4 linked regions of the Coturnix japonica genome follow. The protein of the gene in region 4 interacts with the protein of the main gene of each other region in a pairwise test. Links are inferred from orthologs where the notes say so. Each region holds a gene or a part of one and is shown on either strand. Other genes may lie near its edges. The genes, in order: KPNA6, KPNA1, KPNA5 and NUP50.

What was found.
Region 1: the proteins of NUP50 (region 4) and KPNA6 interact in binary tests that used the Homo sapiens proteins (3 or more experiments, as listed by UniProt). The two-hybrid records come from large-scale screens. The link is inferred for Coturnix japonica from reciprocal best matches to the Homo sapiens genes NUP50 and KPNA6.
Region 2: the proteins of NUP50 (region 4) and KPNA1 interact in binary tests that used the Homo sapiens proteins (3 or more experiments, as listed by UniProt). The two-hybrid records come from large-scale screens. The link is inferred for Coturnix japonica from reciprocal best matches to the Homo sapiens genes NUP50 and KPNA1.
Region 3: the proteins of NUP50 (region 4) and KPNA5 interact in binary tests that used the Homo sapiens proteins (3 or more experiments, as listed by UniProt). The two-hybrid records come from large-scale screens. The link is inferred for Coturnix japonica from reciprocal best matches to the Homo sapiens genes NUP50 and KPNA5.

What each region holds. Positions count from the first base shown.
Region 1 is NC_029538.1:4,554,104-4,561,362, forward strand, and holds the start of KPNA6 (importin subunit alpha-7), read right to left. Parts: upstream 4,351-7,259; 5' UTR 4,196-4,350; coding exon 4,048-4,195; intron 2,120-4,047; exon of another isoform or gene 1,937-2,119; coding exon of another isoform or gene 1,873-1,936; intron 1,660-1,872; coding exon 1,526-1,659; intron 801-1,525; coding exon 705-800; intron 429-704; coding exon 329-428; intron 56-328; coding exon 1-55. Other genes in the region: TSSK3 (testis-specific serine/threonine-protein kinase 3), read left to right, coding at 6,488-6,632, 6,989-7,259. UniProt on the Homo sapiens protein: Functions in nuclear protein import as an adapter protein for nuclear receptor KPNB1. Binds specifically and directly to substrates containing either a simple or bipartite NLS motif.
Region 2 is NC_029516.1:69,222,318-69,229,564, forward strand, and holds the start of KPNA1 (importin subunit alpha-5), read right to left. Parts: upstream 5,806-7,247; 5' UTR 5,752-5,805; coding exon 5,643-5,751; intron 1-5,642. UniProt on the Homo sapiens protein: Functions in nuclear protein import as an adapter protein for nuclear receptor KPNB1. Binds specifically and directly to substrates containing either a simple or bipartite NLS motif.
Region 3 is NC_029518.1:57,978,047-57,984,675, reverse strand, and holds part of KPNA5 (importin subunit alpha-6), read left to right. Parts: intron 1-108; coding exon 109-242; intron 243-2,101; coding exon 2,102-2,203; intron 2,204-2,282; coding exon 2,283-2,382; intron 2,383-3,133; coding exon 3,134-3,228; intron 3,229-5,330; coding exon 5,331-5,462; intron 5,463-6,110; coding exon 6,111-6,199; intron 6,200-6,629. UniProt on the Homo sapiens protein: Functions in nuclear protein import as an adapter protein for nuclear receptor KPNB1. Binds specifically and directly to substrates containing either a simple or bipartite NLS motif.
Region 4 is NC_029516.1:64,559,671-64,567,039, forward strand, and holds the start of NUP50 (nuclear pore complex protein Nup50), read left to right. Parts: upstream 1-2,513; 5' UTR 2,514-2,826; intron 2,827-3,327; exon of another isoform or gene 3,328-3,712; intron 3,713-5,554; 5' UTR 5,555-5,564; coding exon 5,565-5,633; intron 5,634-6,313; coding exon 6,314-6,397; intron 6,398-7,369. UniProt on the Homo sapiens protein: Component of the nuclear pore complex that has a direct role in nuclear protein import. Actively displaces NLSs from importin-alpha, and facilitates disassembly of the importin-alpha:beta-cargo complex and importin recycling.

The sequences.
Region 1 (7,259 bases), on a different chromosome or scaffold from region 4:
AATCTGTCCACCACTCCTTGAGTGTTTATCACTTCGTCTATTGGAGGATTTGGCTCTGAAATAGCAACGCAGTGTCAGAACAGTACACAGGTCTCATAAAGGTGAATAACACACACAAGCTACTATTGACCTGAGCGGTCTCAAGCTGTACTGATGTACCGTGGTACATCATCTCTCCAGAACAGCTTTCAGTAAAATTCATCCAAATTTATAGCAAGTTTCTACATTATGGCCTTCCTCAAATGCGACGCTTCAGTACAACACTGCAAGTACACGAACACTTAAAGACAAGGCTACATCAGACCCCATGGTGGGATCTTATCTTTACCTTTAGAAAGTAACTTCCTGAATTTCTGTGTGGTTGCCAGCTGTAGATCGGGGTCATCGGAGAAAAGCATCTCTACCATCTCTCTTGTGATCACTCCCTCCTTAAAGGGTGGAAACAGAACAGTGGTTCCGTGTCACATTTCAGGTATCACAGTCAAGACATCCTACCACAGTTTTGTTCTTAGCTCATGATCCAAAGATGCACTATTTGAGGTTAAAACACACTGTTTGGATCCTGGCACATTTCTTCACTTGGTTGTAGTAACATTTGCAACGTATTCAACAGCAGGAAAACAAACAGGTGAAGGTTTGTCAGTTCTATGCAGGCCACAGCATGAAGCCTGAAGGCATAAATGCAACAGGGAAAGGCACCTTACCCCACATGTCGTGGAACTGACATAGGAATCCATAAGGAGGCTATCGAACATGGAGGCATCTTCATTGATTAATTCCACGTTTCTTCTTTTAAAGAGCTGGCAGAGAACACAGCACAGGAGTTATTAGAAAGCAGTGTTTGTTTAACAGTCGTCATAACTAGATGTTCCTGCTCCTCAAACGAGATACCGTCAGCCATGAACTAAGTGCAATCCAAATCAAAAACAAGGAGTCATTCATAACAGCCCTGCACACGGAGGACTAACTTGGCACACAAACCCCAATAAAACATGCTGAGTCTTGCCCTCAGATACGCAAATCCCAGCTCAGTGAAACACTGGCATTTGCAAGTGCAGAATTTGGCCTTACAAGATGGGAAAAGCAAGAAGAGGGCGGCTCGTAGGTGATGCAACCGCTCAGTCTGAGCCACGTGCATCACCTGGGAATCACCTCTCACTTTCATAGACTTCCAAGCCAAAAAAAAAACCAGCTCAGAGTCCAGAAGTAAGTGCAGTCACCTCCACCTACTTGTCTCACTTCTTGGAGCAGGAGCTCCATTTACTAATCAACAAAACCAACAACTGAAATTAAAACCAAGGATCTGTGAACAAAAACCTTTAGTACCCCAAAGACAAAGTGCTGGAAGAGCTCTTCATGTGAGCCACGTTCTGTACCATGTGCAGAAGAACAGAGATCTCAGGACAGAGATAAACAAGGACTGCCAACAAACCTTAATGCACAGATCCCTGAAGATTCCAGTTATGCAGCAGCACAGTCTTGATTGCGTTAAGGCTGTACACAAACTAGTCAAGGTGAGAGTTACCTGTTGCTCTCGTTTCTGTTTGCGCAGTTGAATTCCTTCCTCTTCTCTCCTCCGACGCATTTCCTCAGGATTGAGGGCTTTGTTTTTGTAGCACTTCATTCGATAGTTGTCCTTGGCAGGACTCGCCATGTTGTCTGTGGAGAGGAAAAAGAGCCCTCAGGATTCTGGTCACACTCAGGTGTCCCCTTCAAGCAGAGGAGCCAGCACACACAGGTGAAGCAGTGCCTCTCCCAATTGCTTGGTGCTGAAGTACAAAGCTGTGCACTGGAATGAGATCCTGACATCAGCTCCAATGCTGTGTTGTCATGACTAGTATATTGAGTTTATAGGAAGCAGAGCAGACTCACTGTTCTGAAAGGAACCCGGATCCAACTTGATGGCACTGAAGCACGTTACCAATGTGTTACACATTGGAGGTGTGGAGGCACACAACCAACTCCAGTTCAGCTTCCAGCACCATTTCCCTCATATGCCCATGACATAACACACACCTCAGCACCTTCCCTGCACTCAGACACTGACCACAGGCTGCTGTGGGCACAAGCAGGTGCTCACTCAGTAACTGCACTGACTGCAGAGCTGTAGAGCAGGCTGTGAGAGCAGCAAAACACAGACATACACACATGGCAGAGATCCAACCGAGCGCGCAGTAAACAGGCCTTTATCTTACAATTCCAGTTAAAAACATTGCAGAAAGATGAGCTGTATGTATCATAGGCTGTGTTTGTCCTGCCAGATTACTGCAAGTGTTCAGCACCTGACCTACTTCTGCTGCTCCGTATCTGACTAAGGCAGAACTGCAGACCTGATCCCATTGCTCCTACCTCCTCCTCAGGGCAGTGACAAGGTACAGTGTGAGCACCCAGCACCAGCCCTGCACAGCAGACACCAACTGCTCGGCTGCATCCAGCTGCACTCCCCTGTTCTGGGCACTCAGCTTCCCCTCTCCCCCATTCATGAGAAAGGCTGCTGGACTCCAGCTCCACGCCCTTCACAGCACAGGAAGGAAGCAATGATAATCCACAGCAAACTGCCAATTAACCCTGAGACCAAACGGCTCCTCCCTGGCAGCCAGCTGGACAGCAGCACCTTTATCTCCTTCCACCTGCCCTCAGCTGCTGCAAGAAGGATCCCATAAAAGTTTGTGGCCCCACCTCAGTGTCCGCTCTAAGTTCGAAGCAGCCGAGCCACGCTGCTCACACAAAATCCAACCTGACTTATCAGCTGCCCCCAGCCAGGCTGGAACCCTCCCAAGCTCAGCTCGGGATGCTGTGCACTGCGCTGCTATTGAGAGCGCTCAGAGCCACGCTGGGAAAGGCACACAGCAGCCACACGTTCCCACTTTGTGGCTTATATATAAAGTGTAACCCCTGAGCCCAGCCCTGTCTGCACAGCAGCACTGCTGGACAAGGGCTGCAGCCAACAAGTCCTGCATGTCAACACCTCTGGGATCACATCACTGATAAAAACAGCATTTAAAGCTGGGCTTTAATCAAAGTAATCCATATTGGGAATGGTTTCAAGTGCTTTGTGAGCTGAGAATTCCCTCACAGGAATCCCTCCTTTCCACACACTGCACCACGAGGATGTATTTAGAGGATGTATTTAGTGCCTGCGGGACGGAAGGAGAAAGCAGGATGGGAGTTGGATGGGAGCTGGACTCAGACTGAGAGCCAGCACCAACTGCAGCACTGGGCCATAAGGTAAATCCAGGCTCACTGCTGACCCGCCAACACCATAACGGCCCCTTAGCACTGAATCAGAAACCCGACCCCACTTCTCTGCCCATGAGGTTCCTCCCACCTCCCTGCATTACAGAGCATTGGCTTCAAAGACTCGTTCAGCTGCTGATTAAAGCTCCCAGCTGAGTCACTGCAGGAACTCGCATGCCTAAATCAGGACTGTGCTGCTGAGTCAGACCGAGGGGTAGAACAGAAACAGTTACACTGGGATTCACCACGGCCCTTCCGTGTAAAGCCTCAACACCCCAATGCAGATGATCCTCCGAGCTGCCCGTGGCTGTTCTGCTTCACCTGCTCACCTCAAGTCTGAGTAGCAGCAGCAGAGGCTGCTCTGAGCCGTGGGTATAAGGCATGTCACATCACAGCTTTCTTTAGCTGCTCCTTAAAGCAAAGCTGAAGTTCCATGAAGGTTCTGCACAGCAGCAGCCACAGACCTGGGAGGATTCCCTGATTCCCCTGAGCTGCACCCGCAGCATCGCGGCCATTTCAGCTGACGCTGCAGAAATCAAAGCCGAAATAATGGGTGCTCCTTAAATACAGAGCAAACCAAGGCAGCAGCAGCAAATACATCCCAAGAGTTGAGCTGCAGCCATCCCAGCTGCCAACACACAGCAGCCAGGAGCACAAACTGGTTCCTGGGAGCTCCTTGTTTCATCTCCCTGTGATTTCCATAGTCCTGCAGTGAAAAGCCCTGCACGCTGTCAGTGTTTGCACCCAGCAGCAGGAACTGCTTCAGAGCAGCACAAGATGCATCATGGAGTGGCTGTGAGACCCACTTACACTTCAGCTCCTGCTGCCCTGGAGCCGGCGGCTTTAGGTCCTGTCTGTACATCACAGGAGCACGATGATGTGTGATGGAACACAGCCCCAACAAGGAGCGTCCGTGACACCCCCGGCAACGAGGATCAGCTCCGTGTGTCAGCTCCATGCTGCAGCGTCCCGGCCCCAAAGCGGCTCCAAACGGCCGAACACAGCTCGGGATGGGGAGATTCTGCTGCTCCGCCAACGAGCAGCACCGACAGCGGGATCCGCTACTCAAAGATCGTGTTTGCTCACCTCGACTCGAGCAAATAAAGCGAGACGGCCCGATATCCACCGGGACCCGCCGGGAAACGGCCCGTTAAACACCGGGACCCGGCAGCCGGGAGCGGGACCGGGCCGGCAGCACCGCGCAATGAGGGCCGGGAATGTGACCGGGAACGGGAACGGAAATTAGAGCTGGGTTATGATAAAAGTCAGCGGAAAAGTTAAAGATCGAGACGAGGAACGGCGGAACGGGGACACCGACACCGCGGGGACACCGACACCGCGCCGGGACGGACCGAACGGCACCGGAACCGCTGCGAGAGCGCGGGGTGAGGTTCGGGTTCGGGTTCGGTCCGGGGGAACGGCGGCACCGCGGGGCAACGAACGGAGACCGGACCGGACGGACACGGAGCGGAACCGCCGCCGAACTCCGCCCCACGGGACGCAGCCGGTTCCGGAACCCGAACCGACAGCGGCCAACGGCACCGAGCGGAACCGCGGGACGGCCCAAAGAGCGACGGACACGGACAGACACAGACACACACGGACACACACGGACACACACGGACACACACGGATAGACACCGACAGACACACGGACACAACCGACACGCGGTTCCCGCAGCTCCGGCCGCCGCCGCCCCGGAGCCCAACGGCCGCGCTGGGGCTGCCGGCCCCGGGCTGAGTCAGTGCCGCCAACCGAGCGCCCGGCAGCGCCAAGTGCGGACACGGCCGCAGCCCCGCCGTCTCGTACCGTACCGATCCCGCCCCGCCCGGTCCCGCCGCTCTCACCCATCGCGGATCCCGACACGGACGTTCCGGCGGCGGCCACAATATGGCGGCGGCAGCGGGAGGGCGGGGAGCGGCGGACGGCGGCCGAGAGGGACCGCGGCGGGACGAGAGCGGAGAGCAACGCCCCGAACGGGGTCACGGGGCGGGGCCGGGCTTCAACTCGCGGCCGCGGGTCCCGCGTGGATCCTCGTGTCCCGCCACGTGCCCACGCGCCGACACGACCCCCCCCATTGCACCCCCCAGCCCCGAGCTCCGTCCCGGGCCGAGCTGAGCCGGGAGCGGCGGCCCCGGGAGCCCACGGGACGCGTTGGGCCGCACGGCCGGACACACAAGGAGCAGCAGGCGGGGATCGCGTTAGGATGGGCCTTTCTTTACAAAGTGCATAAACATCACGGGCCGCTCAGGTGCTGCGGGGCCGGCAGTTCCCTCCCATGGCGATGAACACGTTGATGGGGATGTGCGGCAGCGTCAGGCGGTGGTTGGCGGGACAGCGCCGCAACTGCCTGCGGGGAGACAGGGGTCAGAGGGACGGCACAGCACGGCACAGTACGGCATAGTACAGTACAGTACAGCACAGTACAGCACAGCACAGTACAGCACAGTACAGTACAGCACAGTACAGCACAACCTGCAGCATCACAGGAGCCCCTTTGGACCCTCACCTGCCCGCAGTCCACGCTGTGCCCACCCGTTGCTGTGTCTCCAAAGCTGCGGCCGCACTACAACAGTCGCCCGCCTCGATGGGGAACCTCCGGGCCCGCGGCGCTTCCTGGGAGCTCATGGCCCGGCCCGGTTTTCTCTGCACAGGGAGAAGCAGCTGGGAGCTGCAGCGGGGCCTGGCTGCGATCCCGGCACCGGCACCTTCCTGCTGTGAAGGAGCCCGGCCTGGTTGGGCTGCAGGCGCCGGAGCAGCTGGACACACTCAGCTCAGACGTGAGGCCGCGGTGGGTCGGTGTGAGCACAGCTCTGAGCTCATGGGCGCAGCCTGGGGTCCCCTCCCTGCAGCAGCAAAGTGTTGTGTGAGCAGCAGCTCCTAAAGCCCCCCCGCCACACCCCGATGAAAACGGGAGAGGAACAGAATGGACCCTGTGACCCCCCTGTACTCACGGTGCCCACCGAGCAGGTCCTGCCCAGCACAGCCCAATTCCCCCCTGCCTGGCCGAGCTGTCGCCCACTTTGATGCACCTCCGTCATCTGGGATTCATGCAGCATCGGCTGCATCACAATAACACGCCCATGCTACAACAGGCGCCTCGATGCCCCTTCCCACCAGGGCAGGAGCAGGGCCTGGTGGCTCTACACGTGCCAACAGGGAGCACGGGGAGCCCCTGGCTGCTGCGATGCTGTTGTCGAGTTGCTGGGGGTAAAACTGAGATTGAACGGCCCCGATTTGTGAGAGGACATGGAGGAGTTTTTGCTCGCCAGCGGATACCAGCTCGGCCAAACCATTGGGGAGGGAACGTACTCCAAGGTGAAGGAGGCCTTTTCCCAAAAGCACCAGAAGAAAGTAGCAATTAAAATCATTGATAAAAGGGCGAGTCCAGAAGGTAAGAAGTTGCCCCTGAAGAGCTCCCAGGTACCGACCCCTCCTTGGAAGCTTTTAGTTCCAGGCAGAAAATGAGTTTCCCAAACTTTCCACCCAAGAGCAGGAAGGGCAGGGAGGTGCTGGGGGCAGGGAGGTGCTGGGGGCAGCTCGGAGCAGCCAGGCCATGGGGTGTCCATCCGGCTCCTCCAGCCATAAGGTGGCCAAAAGCAGCACAGCTCAGACCCCTCCGACAAGGGCCCTGCTTGGAGCCAGGCACCCTGGCACAACCCTTCTTCCTTCCCACTTTGTGGCCGCAGCCCGGTGCGATGCCGGGGCTCAGCAGCTCAGGAACTGAGTGAATTTTCCCCCTCTTGGCAGAGTTCATTCAGAAGTTCCTGCCCCGGGAGCTCCAAATCATCGAGCGCCTGGACCACAAGAACATCATCCACGTGTACGAGGTGCTGGAGTCGGCGGAGGGGAATATCTGCCTCGTGATGGAGCTGGCCGAGAACGGGGACATCTTCGACTACGTGGCACACAGGGGTCCCCTGCCCGAGCCCTGCGCCAGGGAGCTGTTCTGCCAGCTGGTGGAGGCGCTGCGCTACTGCCACGGCTGCGGGGTGGCTCATCGCGACCTCAAATGCGAGAA
Region 2 (7,247 bases), about 4.7 Mb from region 4:
AAAAAAGAATACAAGATTAGCAGACTGACACCTCACTGCCACACCTCCTGTTGTCTGAAAAACTGACTCAACCAGATGAATCTGCTGAGGTTCTATCCGCTTCTTTTGCGTATTTATTGGAACCCAGAGGCATGTGGGAATGCTCATCAGTAAAAATACAGGTATTACTCAAGGGACAAGGGTGTCTTCTAACTTCCAAAATCAGAAAATTTCTTTAAAACTCAGGACATGTAGAAGATGAAAGGGTATTTAAAGCCACAAAAAGCTATTCTTTATGTACTACACGGCCAATTTCTAAAGCCTTAGCTTAACTTTCTCCAGCTATAAAATGGAATTGCAAAACAAGTCTGAAGCACTATAAAGTTAACAGTATTTGTAAAGACCTGCAAAATAAGTTCTGCCGACGGCATTTCAAAACCTAGTGCTAACACAGAAGTGAAATGCTCATGTGAATTGAATCTCCTATGGCTTGGGAAAGCTGCAGCAGCAGACAGGAAGGCTGCTGAGTGTAGAGAAGGACAGACCTCAGCTCCTGAAGAACAGCAGGGACACACATTCCAGCAGATATCACAGAGGAACGATGGAGAAGAAACAGAGGAAATATCTTCAGAGAAGGTTTAAAGCTCCTGTAATCTAAGAGAATGTAACATTCATAGTTAACCATGGAAGGAATACACAGCCTTGCCACAGGGTCCCAAATCTTGGGAGTCCGCTGTGAAAAAACTGAAGTAGCACAGAGATTTATGCAGGGAATTGCCGTGCATCTCTATCTTTCAGATCTGCTTTATTAAGTACCTATTAATCTCTCCATGATCAGGCCTTAATTCGCTGCTGCTTCTGTCCTATCTTATAAACCCTTAAGACAGCCAACTATGTACTAACTGACTTCATTTATAGCAAACGCGGTGTGTTTTGCCTCTTTGGCCACTCAGCAAGTTGGGTTGCTGCCTATCCAAAATGAGGGCAACCTTAACGTTTAAGACAATTAATGCAAGGCACGGTATATCTAGTATTTCACAATACATTTACCACCACTACAATATTTCTGACTTTTTATGTTCCGTTTTGACTTGATGGGGCAGCAGAGAGAGCTTTAAAAGTTCTGGAAAGCTTGAGAAAGACAGCAAAAATCCTAATTCTCAAAGTCAGGGGAACTTAAAAGTTAAACAAAAAAAGTCCACAATTCATTAACTGAGCCTTTCTGAACTGAATAACAAACACAGGATTCCTCTGCTGCGTACAAAGTCATTGCAGTGCAAACAAATCTGTTTAAATGAACGCTGATTTCTATAACCCCGTAGTCCACAATTAACTTGAAACCAAACAGTTCCCACAAGCCACAGAACAAAGGAACTGGTGATGGGGAATTAAGTTTTTAAACACATAGGATTATAATACCCTTAAAAAAATAAAACTTCATGCTAACAGGCCCCTCGACATGAAATAACCAAAGTGATTATTCCTATGGGCCGAACTAAAACATCGTGTTTTTCTTGTAAAGCAGAGATTCCTCCCTGTACTAAGAGAACCAGCTGACCCACAGAGTATTTTCCATACAGTTATACCTAAAAATTGGGCCATCTGAGATAACAAGTCATCTGCATCACTTGATGGTCATCATCTGCCATAAAAAAGCTGTCCCAATATTACCAATGTGTCCTGAACATTCTTTGCTAGAGAACAAGTGTGGTGCTTTCAACATTCCATTGCATGGGGATAGGAAATCCCACATATTTTAAAACCAAATTAAAAGCAGACTAAATTAAGTTCAATTTGTAGTTTAAAGCAATTTCCACGTGGAGTTGTGAATGGCTGAAGACACTGAAATGAAATTTATGTCCTCAACACCTTCAACAAAAGGACTGGCTGCAGTGACTCAGCATTATGAATGGTATGAAATGTGCCCAAAACTCTTCCAGGCAATTGGACTTCAACAGCACAAAGTAACAGCAAGCCCAAGTTATGAAGAACATATCTGAGCTTCGGACATTGGCAACTGGAAGAGTTGTGTAATATTAACATACCAGCCACAGCAAACCAAAGCCCTAGGAACTTTGGGGCTGGACAACACAGGCTCTGCCTGATGGATGCCCTCGGCACCCAGCATCCCTCCAACTGCAGCCTAACCATAGTGCCCTACCTCTAACAACCCTCTGCTAAATCATATCCCTGAGCACCACATCCAAACGGCTCTTAATCACATCCAGGGATGGCGATTCAACCACCTCCCTGAGGAGCCTATTCCAGTACTTAACTACCCTTTATCCCATTTGAAAGCTGCTTCTATGTCACTGAAGTCCATTTACTCCTGCGTTACACAAATGGATTAACAGAAGCAGAAATGCTAGGACTTATCCAACACTACTTCCTATCGCTTTTTCACACACACCTCCTCCTCGTAACATCCTTTTTAAACCTGAAATTTCTGGGGAAGGGAAATTTACTCTTCATCATCTACTTTATGCTCTATTCTTTCTCCTCATAATGAATTACCAAACGCGCACAATGCTTAATAGAGTTCAAGAAATGTATAACGTGACTTCCAGTCCTTCTGTTCCACAGCCTCTATATTTACCTGAGGCTTCCACCAAGAGTTTTCCTTAAGCTTATCTTTGCTGCTTTCACAGAGTTCCCCCCTACCTTCTCCAAAATAATTCAAAAGCATCAATATTTCCATGGGCCTCAAATCCGGCTGCTTGTGTTTCCTTTTGAGAAAACCCCATATTTTACCTGGATATAAAATAAAGCAATTTAACCCATTACTTGCTTAGCAGACTCCAAAAGTCTTAACAGATCGTGAATGTTTTGGAAGGGGTTTTTTTTTTGCCTTTTCGTTGTTGTTTGTTTTAAGCTTAAGAGCAGAAGAAAATACCTTACTTTCATATCAGCACCACTTATCTCTGAAATTTATACTGGCTTTTTCTTACCCGTTATCGTATTATTTAAACAAGGACTTCTACTTAACCCCTCACTATTGAAGCTGAATAATTCTCTTACCAGTTCAGCTTGTGCTCTGGCCTTTCTATGAGGACTTCTCCAGAAGTAATGCTTCCTATTTTATTATGCTGATTCTCAACCAAGAAGGCAGATGTTGGTGGCATGGCAGTAAAGGTTTGAACCTTCCCACCAACATTCCCTTCCATGCTGTAGCTGCACAACAGATGGCAGCAGAGGGGCAGCCTGACAAAATGGCATCTGACATGGAAGTGTGTATGAAGCAAAGGTGTTTAGTGTACTCTTATGTGAGCAAAAAGTGCCACTCACTGACATTCATCAACACTTGCTGAACGTTTATGAAGACCAAACAGTGGGTGTGAGCACAGTGAGGCAGTGGGTGGTGCATTTTACTAGTGGTGACAGCAGTTCACTGCCACTGGGGAAGATTTTGATGTGTGAAGCATGCAGGCTCTTGTTCACCATTGGCAAAAATGCATAGCTAGTTATGGTGACTACATCAAAAAACACTATTTTGTACCTGACAATTTGCTTTATCAAGACTGTTACTGTATCCTCCTGTAGCTTCTGTGAAAATAAATAGGGGGCATTACTTTCAGAGCAACCCATGTAGCTTGTTTGTCTATTACATCATTCCAGAATCTCCTGTGTAGGGTTTAGAGATACAAAATCTCACCATACTTCACCAAGTGTGTAATTCTTTCAATACCAGATAAAAGCAGTCTAAAACCAAAATACCACTCAGCCTATCTCACTCAACTGGACAAAAAGAGAAGGGATAAAAAGCACTGTTGCATCGTGCTGAAACACTGAAGTGATGATAAGATTGTCAATCTGGTTAAATAAACATTTACCAACTAAGAGCCTTTCAGAAACTGTCACACCACCAGAAACCTGTACAACTACTTGTTTCACAAGTGCCTGAGGAAAGTGGTGCTGAAATGGGCCACTGCTGCCTCTCCCTTCCTGAGCTGCACATTCCCCAGTAAGCGGCAATGAGCTCAATGCACAGGACCACCTGGACCACCTTTTATTCTTCGAAAGGGCTGATAATAGCAGGACTAGGGGAAATGGATCCAAGTTGAAGGAGGGAAGATTTAGGTTGGATGTTAGGGGGAAGTTCTTTACTGGGAGAGTGGTTAGGCCCTGGAACAGGCTGCCCAGGGAGGTTGTGGATGCCCCATCCTTGGAGGTGTTCAAGGCCAGGTTGGACGGGGCCCTGGGCAACCTGATCTAGTAAATGTGTATGTTTGGTGGCCCTGCCAGGCAGGGGGGTTGGAACCACATGATCCTTGAGGTCCCTTCCAACCTGGGTCATTCTGTGACAGGCCAAGTCTGACCACATCAACACAGAAGGCAAAACATCAGAAAAACACAATGGATGGCACACTGAGGGCAAAAATGAACATTCCAGTACAGAATTGCAATTAGGGAGCAGAGATGACAAAGGAACTGTTTAGAAGCATAAGAGGGGGGGAAGCTGGGGGGAGGGAGGGGTTGTTAAAGCTCCAACAACAGTCATGTTCTCCTGAGCTGAAGCACCACTGGATCTTTATGGGAATAAAAAACAACACAGGTCCCCATTCTGAGGACAACCTTCCACATTGAGGTATGTTGCCAGCTCTCACAAGCTGCTCCTAATTTTGTCTGTGCCTATGGGCACATCTCCATGTAATTAAAAGGTGCGGGTGTAGTTCAAGCTGAAGTCAATTTGTTTTGAACTATCTAGTTCACATCAGCGCGATGCAGTAAGTTAGCGGGAAGAGCAACAGAATAAAAACACACAGCAAAGATTAGTTTGAGTCAAACTATTCATTGCTACAGTCTATCAGTACAAACAAGATAGCTTCCATATACCTAGCTTCTAGCTATAACGTTGCAATCCCATCTCCGGATAGCCCACAGGCATAACCAAACTGAAGTTAGTAAGCAGTTAGAGTAGAATATGTGCCAGAGAACGAAAAACTCCAGAGAAACAGAAGCTCCGATCAAACCGAATAAAGAGAAACAAGCACTTGGGAGCAGAAGGAGCAGCTCAGGATTTCCACAGCTCATGACACATCTCTCAGCCCGAAGTTTCAGTTTTCATTAAACGCCCTCAAGAGGCAAAGCTTCAAACCATCCCCTCACATGTGTTTCAGTAGGAGGGAACAAACGCAAAGACTATGAATGGGGCGAGTTCCTGCCGGCTGGAAGACAACCGGCAATTGCGAGGGCCCACAGCACAGCACGCAAGAAAGCAAAGAGTAGCTGGGATAACTTAAGACGGGTTTGCAGCAAGAAGGAACAGCTTTAGCTGAACTAGATAGAAATCGCCACCTCGAAGAACGACGGGCTTCAAAACAAGCGAGGAAGTTTCCGTGCGGCTCAGCCCGTGCCCCGCCTCCATCCCCACGCCGCTCAGTTCCCACAGCCGAGCTCGGCCGCTACGCACTCGGATCCCAGCGCTCCGCCGGCCCCCGCCGGGCCACGCGGTGAGGCCGCCCCGGTGCCTCCCGGCCGCTCTGCCCGAGGCCGCAGCCACCGGCCCGACCCACCCGCTGGGCCGCCGCCCGCTGCCCGCCTCGTGCCGGCGGCTCCGGCCATACGCACGCCGCAGACCGGGCCGCGGCGCTCCCCGGCGCGGCCCCGCTCGGCACCCGGCTGCCGCTCCCCTCCTCCCGGTAGCGGCCTCTTTCCCCCCGTACCTGCGGGCCCGGCCCAGCCCCGCGCTGTCTCCTCTCGGGCCCGAGGCGCGCGAGCGCCGCTCCCTGCCTCCCCGTCCGGCCGGCGCTGGCAGCCGATGGCACTGCGCATGTGCCCGGCTCCATGCGTCAATTCCGGCCCGACCGCGGCGCCCTGTGGGTCGGGGAGCGATTCCGGCACGGAGCGCGCAACGGGACTAGGCCGCGCAGCCGCAGATGAGTCAGTGCGTGATGTGTGTGGTGGGATGGGAGCTGTAGTGCAGTGAGTGGCAGTGGGTTGTAATACGTGTGTATAGCAAAATACGTATGACATGTATCACAGAATTATCAAGGTTGGAAAAGACCTAGAAGATCATCCAGTCCAACCATTACCAATACTTCCCAGCTAAATCATATTCATCAACGCAACATCCAAACGTTTCTTGAACACTCCCATGGTCGGTGACTCCACCACCCTCCTGGGCAGTGCATTGCAATGCCTGACTACCCTTTCTGAGAAGTAATACTTCCTAATGTCCAGCCTGAATATCCCCTGGCACAGCTTAAAACCATTCCCTCTAGTTCTATCATTGATTACACAAGAGAAGAGACCAACCCCCAGCTCACTACAACCCCCCTTCATGAAGTTATAGAGAGCAATAAGGTCTCCCCTGAGCCTCCTCTTCTCCAGGCTGAACAAGACATGTACATGCATATATATTTTTACATGAATATGTACTTATGCATATTGATAGCACAGTGAAAAAGTCACTGACAACACTGAAGAAGCTGCCGTGGGTAAAGGCTGAGGTATGGTTGTGAACTTGAGGGTGAGTGTAAGTGACAAACACAGCAGTGATAATGTCACGATTGGGTGAAATATGGATTCACACATATTCCTGCTGGCCCTGCTTTTACCCGGTGCAGTGGGATGGTATGAAATGGTACCACAATAACACAGCCCTTTCTATAAAAAGGCCACGGAGCCAGACTGCTAACCATATTTAGCGCTACTAAATCACAATTGGCACAGGCAAGCTTTGGTTGTCACCTACTGACATTTTGTTCAGCCTAAAAATGAAAACACAGTTGCCTGCACTGTTTCAGACTCTCAGAGCCAGCAGCGTCTCACAGATCAGAACAAAGAAAGATAAGCCAAAGCGAGGCACTTGTTGCAATTTGGGTTCTCAGAGCTGCCACCACAAAAGGAAGAAGGTGGTGTCTCACCGAGGAGAAGCACTGATATTTCAGCAACCAGAGGGAAGGAAGCAAGGATGCTGGCTCAGTTCCTCTGTCCACACCTTTTATGGGTGGCAAATCCATTGACATTGTTTGCACCCACCGCTGAGGTGACAGTGAAAGCAGGGGATGCAGTGATGGCTGGAACAACCGCAGGTTGATAGGGACACCAGGAGGAGACGAAACATAAAGGATGAGAGCGGCAGGAAATGAAAACAGGGCTCTGGAAAATGCTTTGCTATTTTCTTCTTAATGCCTGGGGCAGAGGACATGGTCTATCCTGCCTCTCTTGCATCCTCTCCACTAAGTATCTCTCCAGTAGTGATAGTGTTAACAAATACAGTGGAAGAAACAGCTCTGAAAGCTGAGCTGCTCAGTCACATGCACAGG
Region 3 (6,629 bases), on a different chromosome or scaffold from region 4:
TAGATACTTTTCTAGTATGAGAGATGGTAGGTTTGCCTTTCAAGCTCTGACGTTTTGGAGTAATTCTTTTATTTTTTCTTTTTTTCTTTCTTTCTTTTTTTTTAATAGACATCATGTCAAGCCCAGGGAAAGATAACTTCAGAATGAAAAGCTACAAAAATAATGCACTTAATCCTCAAGAAATGCGCAGACGAAGAGAAGAGGAAGGAATCCAGCTTCGGAAACAGAAAAGGGAAGAACAAGTAAGCATCTTGATAAGCTGCTGTTAAGTGTTCATGCAGCCTAATTCAGATATGTAAAAGAACCTGAGCAGATTCCTTCTGTGAAGTACAAGCCAGAGCACCAAATTAAGTCTGTTTTCTATGCAGTCTTGGGAAGCACCAGGCACCTCTCAGTAGGATTATAAATCAAAAAGGTGAACAGAAGCACTGTAAGTCACTGTGGCATTTGAAGTAGAGACCTGTGTTTCTTAAATCTAGTCCTTAGTCTCATTTTCAACATGTGAGCTGAAGACTGAGCTGAAAGGCTAACCTTATTTCTGGTAAGAATGGGAAAACCTTCATTCTCTTCTAAAGTTTGAGCCAGAGATGCACTATTAGAAGTGAGAGGGATGTACTTCAGATTGCCCAAGAGTTTTTCTACCATAGCCTAGTGAAGTGGCCAACAAACAGTGATCTGTAAACATGAATTTACATATATTTTAACTTAAGTTGTCTTTATTGATTTTTATTTTTTAGTGATTTCATGTGTAATTTCATGGTTGGTGGTAATTCCTTTTCCCAGAATATTTGGTAGTTCATTGCCTGGAAATTGAGGAATATAGCTTGTTCTTCTTACTCTAAAGGGGCTGACTTTTGTCTCCCACCACCTAGTGAATCCCAGGCACTGATCTACAGTCTCCTGTGAGGTGGGAATGTTTACCCTTCTCCTGAGAGAGTGGTGCTACTGCATGGAAAAAGAATTTATATTAGTTGGGCCAGAGAGGTAAGAGTAAGAAGAAGTATGCTGCAGGAGCGTTTACCTGTGATTGAGTTGATCTGAATTGCAGCTCCTGCTGAAAGTTCTGTGTATTTTGTAATAAATGCTCCGTAGGCAAATTATTTATTAAAACAAAAAGAAAAACATTGTTTGCCGCACTGAATGTTGTTGAGAATATTTTGGCCATAATTGACTGGTGTTTTCAGCTCCTTTAGCACTGTTTGGATCAAGTTTGTGTAGGGAAGTGAGACTGTTTTTGCTCCAGAAGAAATTATAAATCATAGATAGACTGTCTTCCTGGACAGAAACGGTTTACATTTTTGTCATTTACGTTTTTACAAGATCCTGTATGGCATTGTTGAGTGCTAGGAAGAATGGCTGATTTCCTAAAAGAGGAACATTGATTCAGGACTGTGCAATTGTTAGGGTCCAGGTTTGTGCCCAATCCAGAGTTTGATCAAGCAAAGGAGAGAGAATGCTTTGTTTTAGATTCCTATTTGTAATATAATTACATGTAAATTTGGTGTTGCTTGTTTGGTTTTGGGCACGTGTGACCACAGAAATGCAGATGTGTGTAGACAACTTTATGAAGAAAACTTTCTCCAGGACTTAGCAGGAGTTTTTATTATTGTGATTACTGATGAAATCTGAGACACTCAGTGGTCTGAGATTCTAACACTTATTTTTAAAGTTACCAGCATGTTATTCATAGAATTGTTAATGATTATAGTTGTAAGTGTAGTACTAAATCAAAGGTACATACTTTAGGTTTGGTCTGTGGAAGTAAGCAGGCTAACATGATTGTTAGGTTTGCATGCTAGAAAATGAGGAGCCACTCATTAAGCATAACGTATTAAATACCGCAGCACAGGTATGTATTTTAAACATAGATAGTATTTGAAGCCAATACCAAAATGTTTTTAGGATACAGAGAACATTTAAGGTCACATAATCTGAAAATTTTAAACTTTAAAGCAGAATTCCATTTGTGTGGATGAACAGGAAAGTGAGTGGTTGAAGTGCTTTGGCCAGTACAGGTGAAAGCCAGTGTCTTCAAGTAACAATCAGTACCTGTTCTGTGATAAACTTCCCCCACATTTCTCCACATTTCTTCTTTGTTCAGCTCTTTAAACGTCGAAATGTTTCTCTCCCGGGAAATGAAGAATCTATGGTGGAAAGTCCAATTCAGGATCCCGACGTCAGCTCTACTGTACCTATTCCTGAGGTAATCACTCTAGGATATGTCTAGAATATTGTGTTAATGTGTTTGTGCCAATCCTACAAAGCTGCCCTTTTCTTTTTAGGAGGAAGTTATCACAGTAGATATGGTACAGATGATTTTCTCGGATGATCCTGATCAGCAACTCACAGCAACTCAGAAATTCAGAAAACTGCTATCTAAAGGTATGCAAGCATTAATTTTTCTTTTTCCTCTTATTTTATTATTACAAATTTTAGTCAAACAGAGTCGGTCAACATTGAATTTTGCTTTACCTTAAAATAGAGCTTGCAGAAGCTTCTCAGTTTGTTTGTAACAAAACCAGGTCCACGTCTATTCTAACCTAATGACTAAATACAAAAAGTTTTATTGTTCTGTTGTTCAGTTTTCTGGACTAAATAACAAAGAAAAGGATATTTTGATATAAGTATACAGGGCAGTAACTGACAGTGACACACTAACATTACTTGAAGTATGTCTTGCAGTAATAGATTTTCTGATTCTGTGTTTGAGGGGATAAAAGTGATATGACTTGCCAAAAATGGGTGTAATTTTGTTTTGTTGTTGTTGTTCATGTAAAACATCGTCTTAAATTCATGCTGCTATTTGTACAGTCTACTAGACAAGAGTATACTTGATTATTTAAAGCTGTATTTCTGTTGATTGAGGGAAGAGTGTTGTGCTTAAATGCCAATAGGCAATTGTGTGTTATTGTACAGAATAGAGCAATCACTAAATTACAGCACGTTATGAGATTATCCAGCAGTCTTATGAAGGAAAAAAAGTCCTGCTCTTGGGATTAAACTGTTTGAAGGCTAGAAATGTATGTTTTCTGAGAATCACTCATGTTTTGTGTCATACCGAAAAAGTAATTTCAGTGGTCTTATTTTGTTAGTCTTATGCATGTGAATTGTTTTTGTTCTTTTTATCCCCCAGAGCCCAACCCGCCCATAGATGAAGTCATCCAAAAACCAGGAGTAGTACAGAGATTTGTGAAATTTCTCGAGAGGAGTGAGAATTACACGCTGCAAGTGAGTTTGGCTGGTACTTGTTTAGGGTTTGGAATGGGGTTAGAAAACCTGAAAACAGCTTTGGAAAGCATGCTGATTTTGTAAATTTAATATTATTATTTTTAATATGAAAATGTAATTATATCCATCAAAGCTGTAAGTTTTAGATATCCTAAGTTTTAACAATTGCCACTGGAATTGTAGCTCAAGTCTTGTGAATTTAGTAGTCTTTAGGGTGATGTATTCAGCTGGTCATATATTTGGATGTGGAAAGCAGCCTTTGTGACCATGAAATGGTAGAGTTCTCTGTTCTCAGTGGAGCCAGGAGAGGGAGCAGCAAAACTGCTACTTAGGACTTCTGGAGGGCGGACTGTGAATTGTTTAGAAGACTAGCAGGGGGAGCCCCCTGGGATTCAATCTTAGAGAGTAAAGGGGTCCAAGACAGCTGGTCGCTCTTCAAGAAGGAGGTCTTATGGGTGCAGGAATAGGCTGTTCCTCTGAGCTGCAAAATGAGTCAGCGGAGAAGAAGACCAGCATGGATGAATAGGGAGCTATTCTTGATGCTTCGGGAGAAAAAGGGAATCTGCTTACTGTGGAAGGGATAGGTGACTCAGAAAGAATATAGAGAACTTGTTAAGATGTGCAGAGAGAAAATCAGAAAGGTAAAAGCCCAGCTTGAAGTCAACCTGGCTGCTGGGGTAAAAAGGAACAAGAAGCTCTTTTACAGATACATACATCAACAGTAAGAAGACTAAGGAGAACCTCCATTCTTTACTAGATGAGTCTGGGAATGTGACCACTGAGGATAGGAAAAAGGCAGAGGTTCTGAATGCCTTCTTTAAAGATCAGACCAGTTATCCTCAGGGTTCTCTACTCTCTGACCTGGTAGTATTGGCTGGGGAGCAGGCAAAACCCCTCACAATTTAGGAGGATGCAGTCAGAGACCTGCTGCTCCAACTGGACTGCCGCAAGTCCACGGAGTCAGATGAGATTCAGCTGAGAGTGCTGAGGGAACTGGCAGAAGGTGATAGCCGGAGCTGCTTTCTATCATCTAACAGTGCTCCTTGTTGACTGGTGAGGTCCTAGAAGACTGAAAAGTTTGCCAATGTGACTCCCATCTACAAGAAGGGTTGTAAGGAGGATCCAGGGAACTACAGGCCTGTTAGCCTGACCTCAGTGCCAGGGAAGGTTATGGAGCAGATTGTCTTGAGGGAGATCACGCAGCATGTGTGGGACAACTGGGGTATCAGGCCTAGCCAGCATGGGTTCACAAAGGGCAGGTCCTGCTTGACCAACCTGATCTCCTTCTATGATTGTGGCCCTGCCAGGCAGGGGAGTTGGAACTTCATGATCCTTGAGGTCCCTTCCAACCCAGGTCATTCTGTGATTCTGTGATCTGGTGACCCGTCTGGTGGACGAGGGAAAGGCTGTTGATGTAGTCTACCTAGACTTCAGCAAAGCCTTTGACACTGTCTCCCACAGTATCCCACAGTCACTGAAGCTGGAGGTGTTCAAGGAATGTTTGGACATTGTGTTGAGGGACATGGTTTAGTGAGAACTATTGGTGACTGGTGGAAGGTTGGACTGGATGATCTTGTAGGTCTTTTCCAGCCTTGGTGATTCTGTGATTCTGTTCAAGATGATTTCCTGAGTGGTGTATTGAAAGCATCAGTGTAGATGTCTGAGCAGAATCTGGGTGTTTTTTTAGTTTTGGTTTGTTGTTTTTTTCTTGGAAATAGTGTGTTGTTCTACAGTTGAAATCTTACAAAAGAAATAAAAATACATGAAAACTTGAAAGCTAAAACTCTTGGAAAGTAATCTTGGGAAAAACAAGTGTCAAAACGATTAAGAGTAACTGGTAGCCTTGTGCACATTTGCATTAAAATAACTGAGCATAGCATAAAAACATTTGTACCAGTTAGTACAGATAATCTTACGGCACAGAAATTACAGTAATAGTAACAATTACATTGGAGTGCAAAGGAAAAAAGTTGGATAAGTAATCTCTGGAACTCTTGTATTAAACTGCTTGCAACAAATTTTGGTGTTTGGTTGTTTTTGTTTTGATTTTTACCGCTCAGTTATTTAACATGGTAATTTTTTGTTTTTCTCCTCCACAACAGTTTGAAGCGGCTTGGGCTCTGACAAACATAGCGTCTGGAACTTTTCTACATACTAAAGTTGTAATTGAAACCGGAGCTGTTCCCATCTTCATAGAGCTGCTTAGTTCAGAGTTTGAAGATGTACAGGAGCAGGTAACTGTTTTCTTGCAGTGTCTTATAACTATAAAATTCATTTAGGAACGTCTTCCCTCCTCTCCAGCATTTTTATTTTAATTCAGATAAAAAGATCTGAAGTCCCATTGACCTGTTATACCACTGATTTGACTCCAGGAAAAGTGTTTTATTTCCCTTATGATTCCCCAGCCTCTTCCAATTTTTCCAAGTCCTTGTGAGCCTGTTGTGGTTTTTTTTAATATTCTTAACTAATGTGAGGAAAAGCACCTCATTTCCTTTGTGCTGTGTACTGGTGGACAGAGTCTCAAACAACATAACATAGTGGAAAACAAAATGTAATTTTCTTTTTCCTAGCTTACAATGCAGCTTTATTTCTTAGATCCTTCTTACTGCAGTTTTCATCAGTGTCTTCCTGAATTTGTTATTTTTGTTGTTAGTTTTTCTTTTATTTTTATCTTTCTATAATAGGTAGTTGACTTTGTGTATTTCACAGAAAATTCAGAATATAAATCATTGGTCTTCTGAAATGTTATATTCAGGATTGTGCTGTGATTTTTTTGGATTCCAGAGTGTTTGCTGTAAGAATATGTGGATTATCTGTACAGATATGTAGATTATCTGATTTGCAGGCATGTGTAAATTCACTTGGATGCTTTCATTTTTAAGGCAGTGTGGGCTCTTGGTAACATTGCTGGTGATAACGCAGAATGCAGAGACTTTGTATTAAACTGTGGAATATTACCACCCCTCTTGGAGTAAGTATTGTAAATTGTTACCGGCATAAGGTGGGAAAGATTATATAAGTCGTATGTTTGTGTGATTCTAACTGGTTGGCTTCTCTATTTTTTTGTCTGATAACTCCAATCTCCAGTGTTTGGTTGTTGAGATGCGCCAGCAGACTGGGCATTACATGAGCAGTGTTCTGCTGGCAGATTTCTCTTCGTTACGAGTATTATTCCACTGCTTACTGTACTTTTGCAGTGGGCTCTGGGGAAAAAACTACCCAACAGAAATAGTATTCAATTTATTCTAACTTAAAATACCAAACTGACTTAAAGCATTTTTAAAACAGCTTAAAGGAACATGATGTAATTGCTTTCCTTGAGGATTTAAAGGCTGAGGGTTTGGTAAGTTTTGATTTGTATCTGAAAGTGAACCTGATTTTTCAGGTATTGAATTTTTCCC
Region 4 (7,369 bases):
TTGTGAACCTTAAGAGGCAACCCTGGCAGTGGTGCTTGGAAGGCACCCACTGCGTGGCAGAGCACAGCTCAGGGAGACTGGGAGGCCAACACTGACCTCTCAGTTGGCTACTGAAAGAAAATAGAAATAAAAAAAGGAAAAAAAAAAACAACACATATAATATATAATATATATATATATATAATGTGTGATATAATTTGTTCAGAACTCAATATACACTCTATGGGACATGCTGTGTAGGTTAGCAGTGATGGAACATGGACTATGCACTCACCTGTCTGAGGCTCAGGATGACAGCACAGTCTGAGACTGTGTTGTGCTTTAACCAAGCAGGCAGCTCAGCATCACTCAGCAGCACTTCTCAGCAGTTATCAACATTATTGATAGGATTCCCACTATAAGGATGTCTTGCTTCTTTACTGCAATCTGCATTTATAATATTTATAGCATTGTTATTTGCAGCAATTTTGATTATTATGTTTGGTATATGTGCCAAATCCAAGCTAATCAGTGCATTAATTCACTAAGCGTGCATGGTGTCCCTGAATCTGAGCTGCATCCAGGTAGGGCGAAAGAAAATTCAGACATATAGGATAACACTTGGTCTTAATTCATGCAAACATGATTTGGACCTTGAATCGAGTGACTATATATTTATGGGGTGAATAACATGGGACTTGCACATAAGGGGTTAAAAATGCTGGTGCCTGCTTATCTCTTGTGTAAACCTTGGGGATGGAAATCTGCAAGGTTGGCATAAAAAGCAGCCAAAAGTGGGAGTCTTGCAGTGGAAGGACAGTTCTCTTTTGGCTAAATGTTTCAAGAAAAAGCAGATATACAGCTTCAGCAAAAAATCTCTAAGGCTGCAAAACCCAGAGTTATGCATTTACTGTGAAATTTAATATTAAAATGAACACCTCTGAGTATGCTTATAAGCTCTAAGAACAACATGCTGAACGTATATGACTATTTACTTGACTGTCCACTCAAATCATGTTAAACATCACCATCTTCAGAGATCCTCTCGGTCTCTTGTAAGGGAAGTATCTTTAGGGGGAAGATCAGGGCAGAGAAGAGGGGAAGAGAAAGGAAGGGAGACTGGAGGAGAGAAAAGAGATGAGATAAGAGATGGGACACCTCTTAGTAAGTACTGAGCATCACATCTTGGTGAAGAATACCCAGGGTAGCACTTATTTTGCCAGCACTATCATCATACATTAGCACTATTGCATCTATCAGTGGCAATTCCAAACTTGTTGCATGTGTCACTTCATTAAATCACCTATTTTTTGATGTGAATATGCCCAATGAAAAGAGAACTTGCCTATAGAAGGAAGCAATTTTTGTGTTCTGGGGGCTAAGCAAGGCAAACAACATGAAGGTCAGGGAAAAAAACCTTCACACTTAGAGAGAGAGGTCCGGGAACAAAGATCTGAACTCAGTTTTGCATGTGTATATTTTGAATATACTCAATATACCATAGAATTATTGGATGGCCTGGATTAAAAAGGACCTCAGAGATCACCTTGTTTCAACCCCCCTGATACATGCAGGGTGTCCAGCCACCAGACCAGGCTGCCCAGAGCCACATCCAGCCTGGCCTTGAATGCCCCCAGGGATGGGGCAGCCACAACATCCTTGGGCAACCTGTTCCAGTGCATCACCACCCTCTGTATTGTGGAACAGACCTCTGCTTCAGGAATCTTAAGGGTGCCTGACAAAAAAAATCAGCGTAATCTAGTGGGAGAGTTTTCATCTTTTTTTTTTTTTCCTCTTCCAAGTATTGAATTTGTAATAGAATAGTATGTTCTAAGAGCTTTCATTCGCTGTTACTCTTTCCTCTTAAGGTTATACGGTCGCTATACATGATGCAAACTCGTTTGGAGACACTGCCGTCAAGGCTATAGGGGCAGGCTGTTACTTCATTCTGGACTTAATCCCCATCGCTATCATACCACAAGTTATAGGTCAGCCAAGCAAACTGCTGCCGCTCCAAGCCGGACCTGAGTGCAGCGAGCCGTGACTCAGCGGAGCTACACCCAGCCGGGCAATGCAGGGCAGTGCAGGCAATGTAGGGCAGCTGGGCCCCGAGTCATCACAGTATATACACACAGTATCACAGTCTGGTGCGGGTTGGAAGGGACCTTAGAGATCATCGAGTCCAACCCCCGGGATTCGAGCCCCTGTGTAGCAGAGCGGCACTTCTACCACTTGCGCCACAGGGGGGGATTCGAACCCGTGTCTCCAGTGTTGCATAGTGGCGTCCTTAACCACTGCGCCACCGTGGCACACTAATGCCATGAGGCGCCGGCTCCCCCTCAGAGCAGCACCGCTCCGCTGCCGCCACCGGCCCCGGCAGCAGGAAGAGCGCGGCTACGTCACGTGACGAGCAATTCGAACGAGCGGCGCGAGACGCCGACCACGCGCAGGAGCGGTCAGCCTCCCGCGAGAAGCGTCGCAGCGAGGCCTCCCATTGGGCCGCGGAGGTCACGTGTCTCGCATCCCAACGGCTGGCGGCGGGGTAGCGGCCTGCTCCGCCTCCTCCGTCCCTCGAGCTGCGGCCGCGGGGCGGGCTGCGCATGCGCGGTGGGTGCGACCGCCGGGCCGGTGTTTCGTGTGGTTCCGAAGGCTCAGGGCGGCACGAAATGGCGGCCTGACGGCGGGCTGCCACACTGCGGGAAGGCACAGCGGGCGGCTGAGGGCCCCGGCGGGGGATGGTGACGGGGCTCCGGAGCCGGGCAACCAGCGAACGCGCTCTGCTCGCCAACCGAAGCTTCGGCCCCGCGGCGAACGACAGTCATCGGGCCGGGCCGCCGGGCCGCGCGGGTGAGTGGCAGTTCCTCCCCTCCTCCCCTCCCGTCTTTTCATAGTATCACAGTATCACAGTCTGGTGCGGGTTGGAAGGGACCTTAGAGACCATCGAGTCCAACCCCCGGGATTCGAGCCTCTGTGTAGCAGAGCGGCACTTCTACCACTTGCGCCACAGGGGGGATTCGAACCCAGGGGCTCCGGTGTTGCAAAGTGGCGTCCTTAACCACTTGAGCCACCGGGGCACAGCTCTGTCGCGGCGCTGCGGCAGGGTGAGGCTGAGGCTGCGGGGGCCGTTGCCGGTGGGCTGGCGCCTGCCCGCTGCGGCTCCGGCCGGCCCTGAAGGCCCCGCCGCGTGGGAGCCTCCCCTCGGGGAGGGTCTGCGGGCGGGGAGAGGGGTGGCCCTGTTGTGGTCGTGTCACCCCGATAAGAGGCCGGCGGATTAAAAAGCAGATCGGCGTCGGTAGCGGGAGTAAGGCCGGGTAGCCAGCTCGCCCTGTAAGGTGTGCGGGCAACGGGTAGGCTCGCGACTTTAAAGGGCGGGTGGCGTTTAGAGGAACTGCGCTGGCAGATGGCAGGAATACGTTGCGCTGCACAGGAACACAGGGCTTTAATCACCGTGAAGAACCGACGGTGTTCTGCGAGACTGCTGCTATAGGCGTTTACAGAGGAAACGACGAGACAGAAGGCGTGTTGAAACAGCACGCTGTTTGAGGAAGCCTGGCTCAGCTGCCCCGTGCCCTGTGATTTCCGGACCTGATGGAAGGCGGCGGCAGCTTCCCACTTAAGAGCAGGGCTGCAAAAAGCTCCATAATGCTGGTCGTGCAGCCCCACTTTAGCTGGCTTAAGGCTCCTGAGCACTGCTGGGGTGACGGTGCCTTCTGTAGCTCCCGCTACTGAGCTTGTAAGTTGTGACAGTGCCGATTTTTTAACCCCCTTTGTAGAAGTTAGATTGTGAAATGTAAGAGAAGTTCTTGTAATACAGCCTTAACTCAGTGGGTCGTAGTAGCTCAACAAAGCACGTGTTGAGCTTCTTAAATAAAAAGCTGTTTCTCATAATTCTCCCATCTAAACCTGCGCTTGTGACAGAAAACTGCCAAAGGTTGTGGCTGCATCTAAAAAGTAACATAGAGCTCGTTTTGTATTGCTTCCTGTTTCACAGCTTAGAAATGCCTAGAATCCTCTTGCTGCTGTCTTCATATAGGTTAGATTCTCTTGTCAGCTCCTATTTTCAGACGTGACCTAGAGAAATCACACAGAATCACACTGATCACAGAATGACTTGGGTTGGAAGGGACCTCAAGGATCATGTAGTTCCAACCCCCCTGCCTGGCAGGGTCACCAAACATACACATTTACTAGATCAGGTTGCCCAGGGCCCCGTCCAACCTGGTCTTGAACACCTCCAAGGACGGGGCATCCACAACCTCCCTGGGCAGCCTGTTCCAGGGCCTAACCACTCTCCTAGTGAAGAACTTCCCCCTAACACCCAACCTAAATCTTCTCTCTTTTAACTTAAAACCATTTCCCCGTATCCTGCTATTATCAGCCCTTTCGAAGAGTTTACTCCCCTCCTGGGTGTAAGTTCCCTTCAGGTATTGAAAGGCTGCAATGATCATGTGAAGACAAGTAGGTATAAAGAACCTGGAGCCTGAGCCAATTAGTTTCCCACTTTTTCCTCATAGTGGAGAACAGGCTTTCTGTTTAATATAGCGCTTGTAATGCTTCAGTGGCTGTCATTAGGACTGGTAATGTGATCTTGTGTGGAATCTGATGGAGTAACTCTAGGTTAGTCTCATGAGCTTTTGAGCTGTGGTCGCTGCCAATGAAATGCAATCTCGCCTTCCTCTGCTGGTAAGTGTTTGTGTGCCCTTGTGGGAAGCTGCACTGGGGAGACAATTGTAAAATAAGTATTTTTAGTTATTTTTCATTGGGTTAATTTAACCAGTTCCCTCGTCTGCAGAGAATCATGTAGTACATGGTAGGACCTCTTTCTTTTCCCCAGCAAAGTGGGGCTTATGCCATTTTAAAGCATTTACGTAGAACAGCTTTTTGCTTCCGCCCTTCTAAAAGATCCTAATAAGTTGCCTTGTGAAATTCATGGCTCTCAGTCACAACCTCTGTAAGTTGTCTCATTTATTTGCAATAGAATTTGTCAGTATTCTAATAGTAATGTCCTAGCAATCTGGTTCTTTGTAGGAGGGTATTGTTTTCATCCTTACCCAAAGTGAACTGGCTTTAGTCAGTCATTATCAGTATATTGATTATAGGTGCTGGCAAGAAACTTTTCTCTTGCAAAGCTGTTAGGTTTTACCAGCTATCCTGAAGGAAGACGGACTGGGATATGTAATCTTTTAGCTAGATCCTTTTATATGTGTTCGTTGTTTTTTTTCAGCCCATCAGCCTAATTGGTGACAAGGGATGGAATACAGGACTGAAAGGAATTTTTCTAGCTTGCTCCACTGCTGAAGAAAAATAACTTTGTGACTGAACTGCATATTTCTGTTGTTGCTTGATTTTAGTATCAAGTACGGCTAATAACCACAATCCCAGTTTCATGTGCTGTGTTGATTGTTGTTGCAACAAATGTTAAAAAACACTTTGTTTCCAAATGTTGTTCTAATTTTGACTTAGTTCTTTGTGAACTCTGATTCCAGTTACTTGTTCTGAATAACAGAAGTTGAAGATTCCCTTCTTAGAATGACCGGGCAATTAAATCTCTGCATTTCTGATCTTTTTTCTACAGGTGTGGAAAAATGGCAAAGAGAATTGCAGAAAAGGAACTGACCGACAGAAACTGGGATCAAGAAGACGAAGCTGAGGAGGTAAAACTATAGATTAGATTCACACAGAATCACAGAATTGTAGGGGTTGGAAGGGACCTCTAGAGATCATCGAGTCCAACCCCCCTGCCAAAGCAGGTTCCCTACACCACATCACACTGGTAGGCGTCCAGGCGGGTCTTGAATATCTCCAGAGAAGGAGACTCCATCACCTCCCTGGGCAGCCTGTTCCAGTGCTCCCTCACCCTCACTTCAGCACATTTAGCACATTAGCTGCCTTTACCACTACTTGAACTGTGGAACATATCTCAATATACCTTCTCTGAACTGGATATGGTTTGTAACAGTGTAGCTGTTACTGATAGAGTACCTTCAGCAAAGTTAGTTTCCTTGTTGACTTGCTTGCCATAGTAAACAGCAATTGAATTGCTTGCAATAGTAAAATTGAGATTGCAGTCTGTATAAAGGGAAATTAAATGCAGAACAGGAAGAACGGAGCTGTGAAATATTAGCTAATCATATCCAAGCACCTGGCAAGCTAATAGTAGAACTGTAATGTTCTTCATTTTTATTTTTATTTCTAATTTCTTCTCTTACTTGTTAATGAGAATTGTTACAGTTCTGTTCAAAAAGTATCTCAGGGTTTCAGTCATCTCATCAGGCTATGACAAATCAGTGTATTCTGAGAGTTACACTAATAATTCCATGTCTTTATCTCAAAGGTGGGAACCTTCTCAGTGGCTAGCGAGGAAGTCCTGAAGAACAGAGCTATTAAAAAAGCAAAGCGTCAGAATGTTGCATCAGAGGTAATGTAATCACTGAACTTTAGTATCATAGTTCCAGTCAGTTGCAAAAAATGACATCTGTGTTCAAATCTTTCCTTATTTTGGCTTGTAACAATTCTGGATAAAGCCATCATTTTAAAGGTATTTGCGACTAGCCAACTGCTCCACTTCCAATCCTAGCAGAGCTGGAGCCTGGAAATCTAGCCTGGAAGCCACTAATTATCATGTTGGAGGGCTCGGGGATGTCCAAGGCAGTAAAAGCCAAGTTATTAAGTTGGTCTAAGAGTGAAATAAATGTGTTCTGTTTAAAAACAGTAGTACTTTTTCCCCTGGAAGACCTTCAGTGTGTGATATACATTTGGCAATAATAAATGGAATGTAGAAGGGAAATTGGCCTTTCTTAGAGATTTAGTTCCTGTGAAAGTATTAACTGTTCTAACCAAAGTTTAGTCCTTTCAGAAATCCTTGACAGATGCTTTGTTGTACATCTTTCTGTGAAACTTTCTTTCAAGATTGCTTGTCTGGTGTTAGGAATTGGACAGTTTTTACCTACCATCCAAGTTCCTTTTAGATAGGACAAGACTGGGCTCAGTTATGAGCTATGTAGCTTTTTCTTATGTTCTTTTTCCTTCTGTCCAAGCAATATAAATGTGGCAGCTGTCCCATCTCACTTCTACCTGTGGTAATTTTAGCCACCAATGTGGTAGAAGGTGCAGTTACTTTAAGAACTCTATTGGGAAGAGGCTTATAGTGATGTTAAAGAAAAAAACAAACACCCAGCACCTTGGACAGGGAGGATTCAGGGGCAAAATAAAATGGAAAGACAGAATTGGTTGAGAAAGGGGACCAGATAATCGCAGAAGAAATGATTGTAAGGTTGGGATTCAGCTGTCAGATATCAGAACTCGAAAAAGTATGATAGGCTAGACAAAGTCTAAAAAGCAGAATAGATGTCAGGGTAGTTGAGTCTGTGTAATAAATCTGTGAAACATT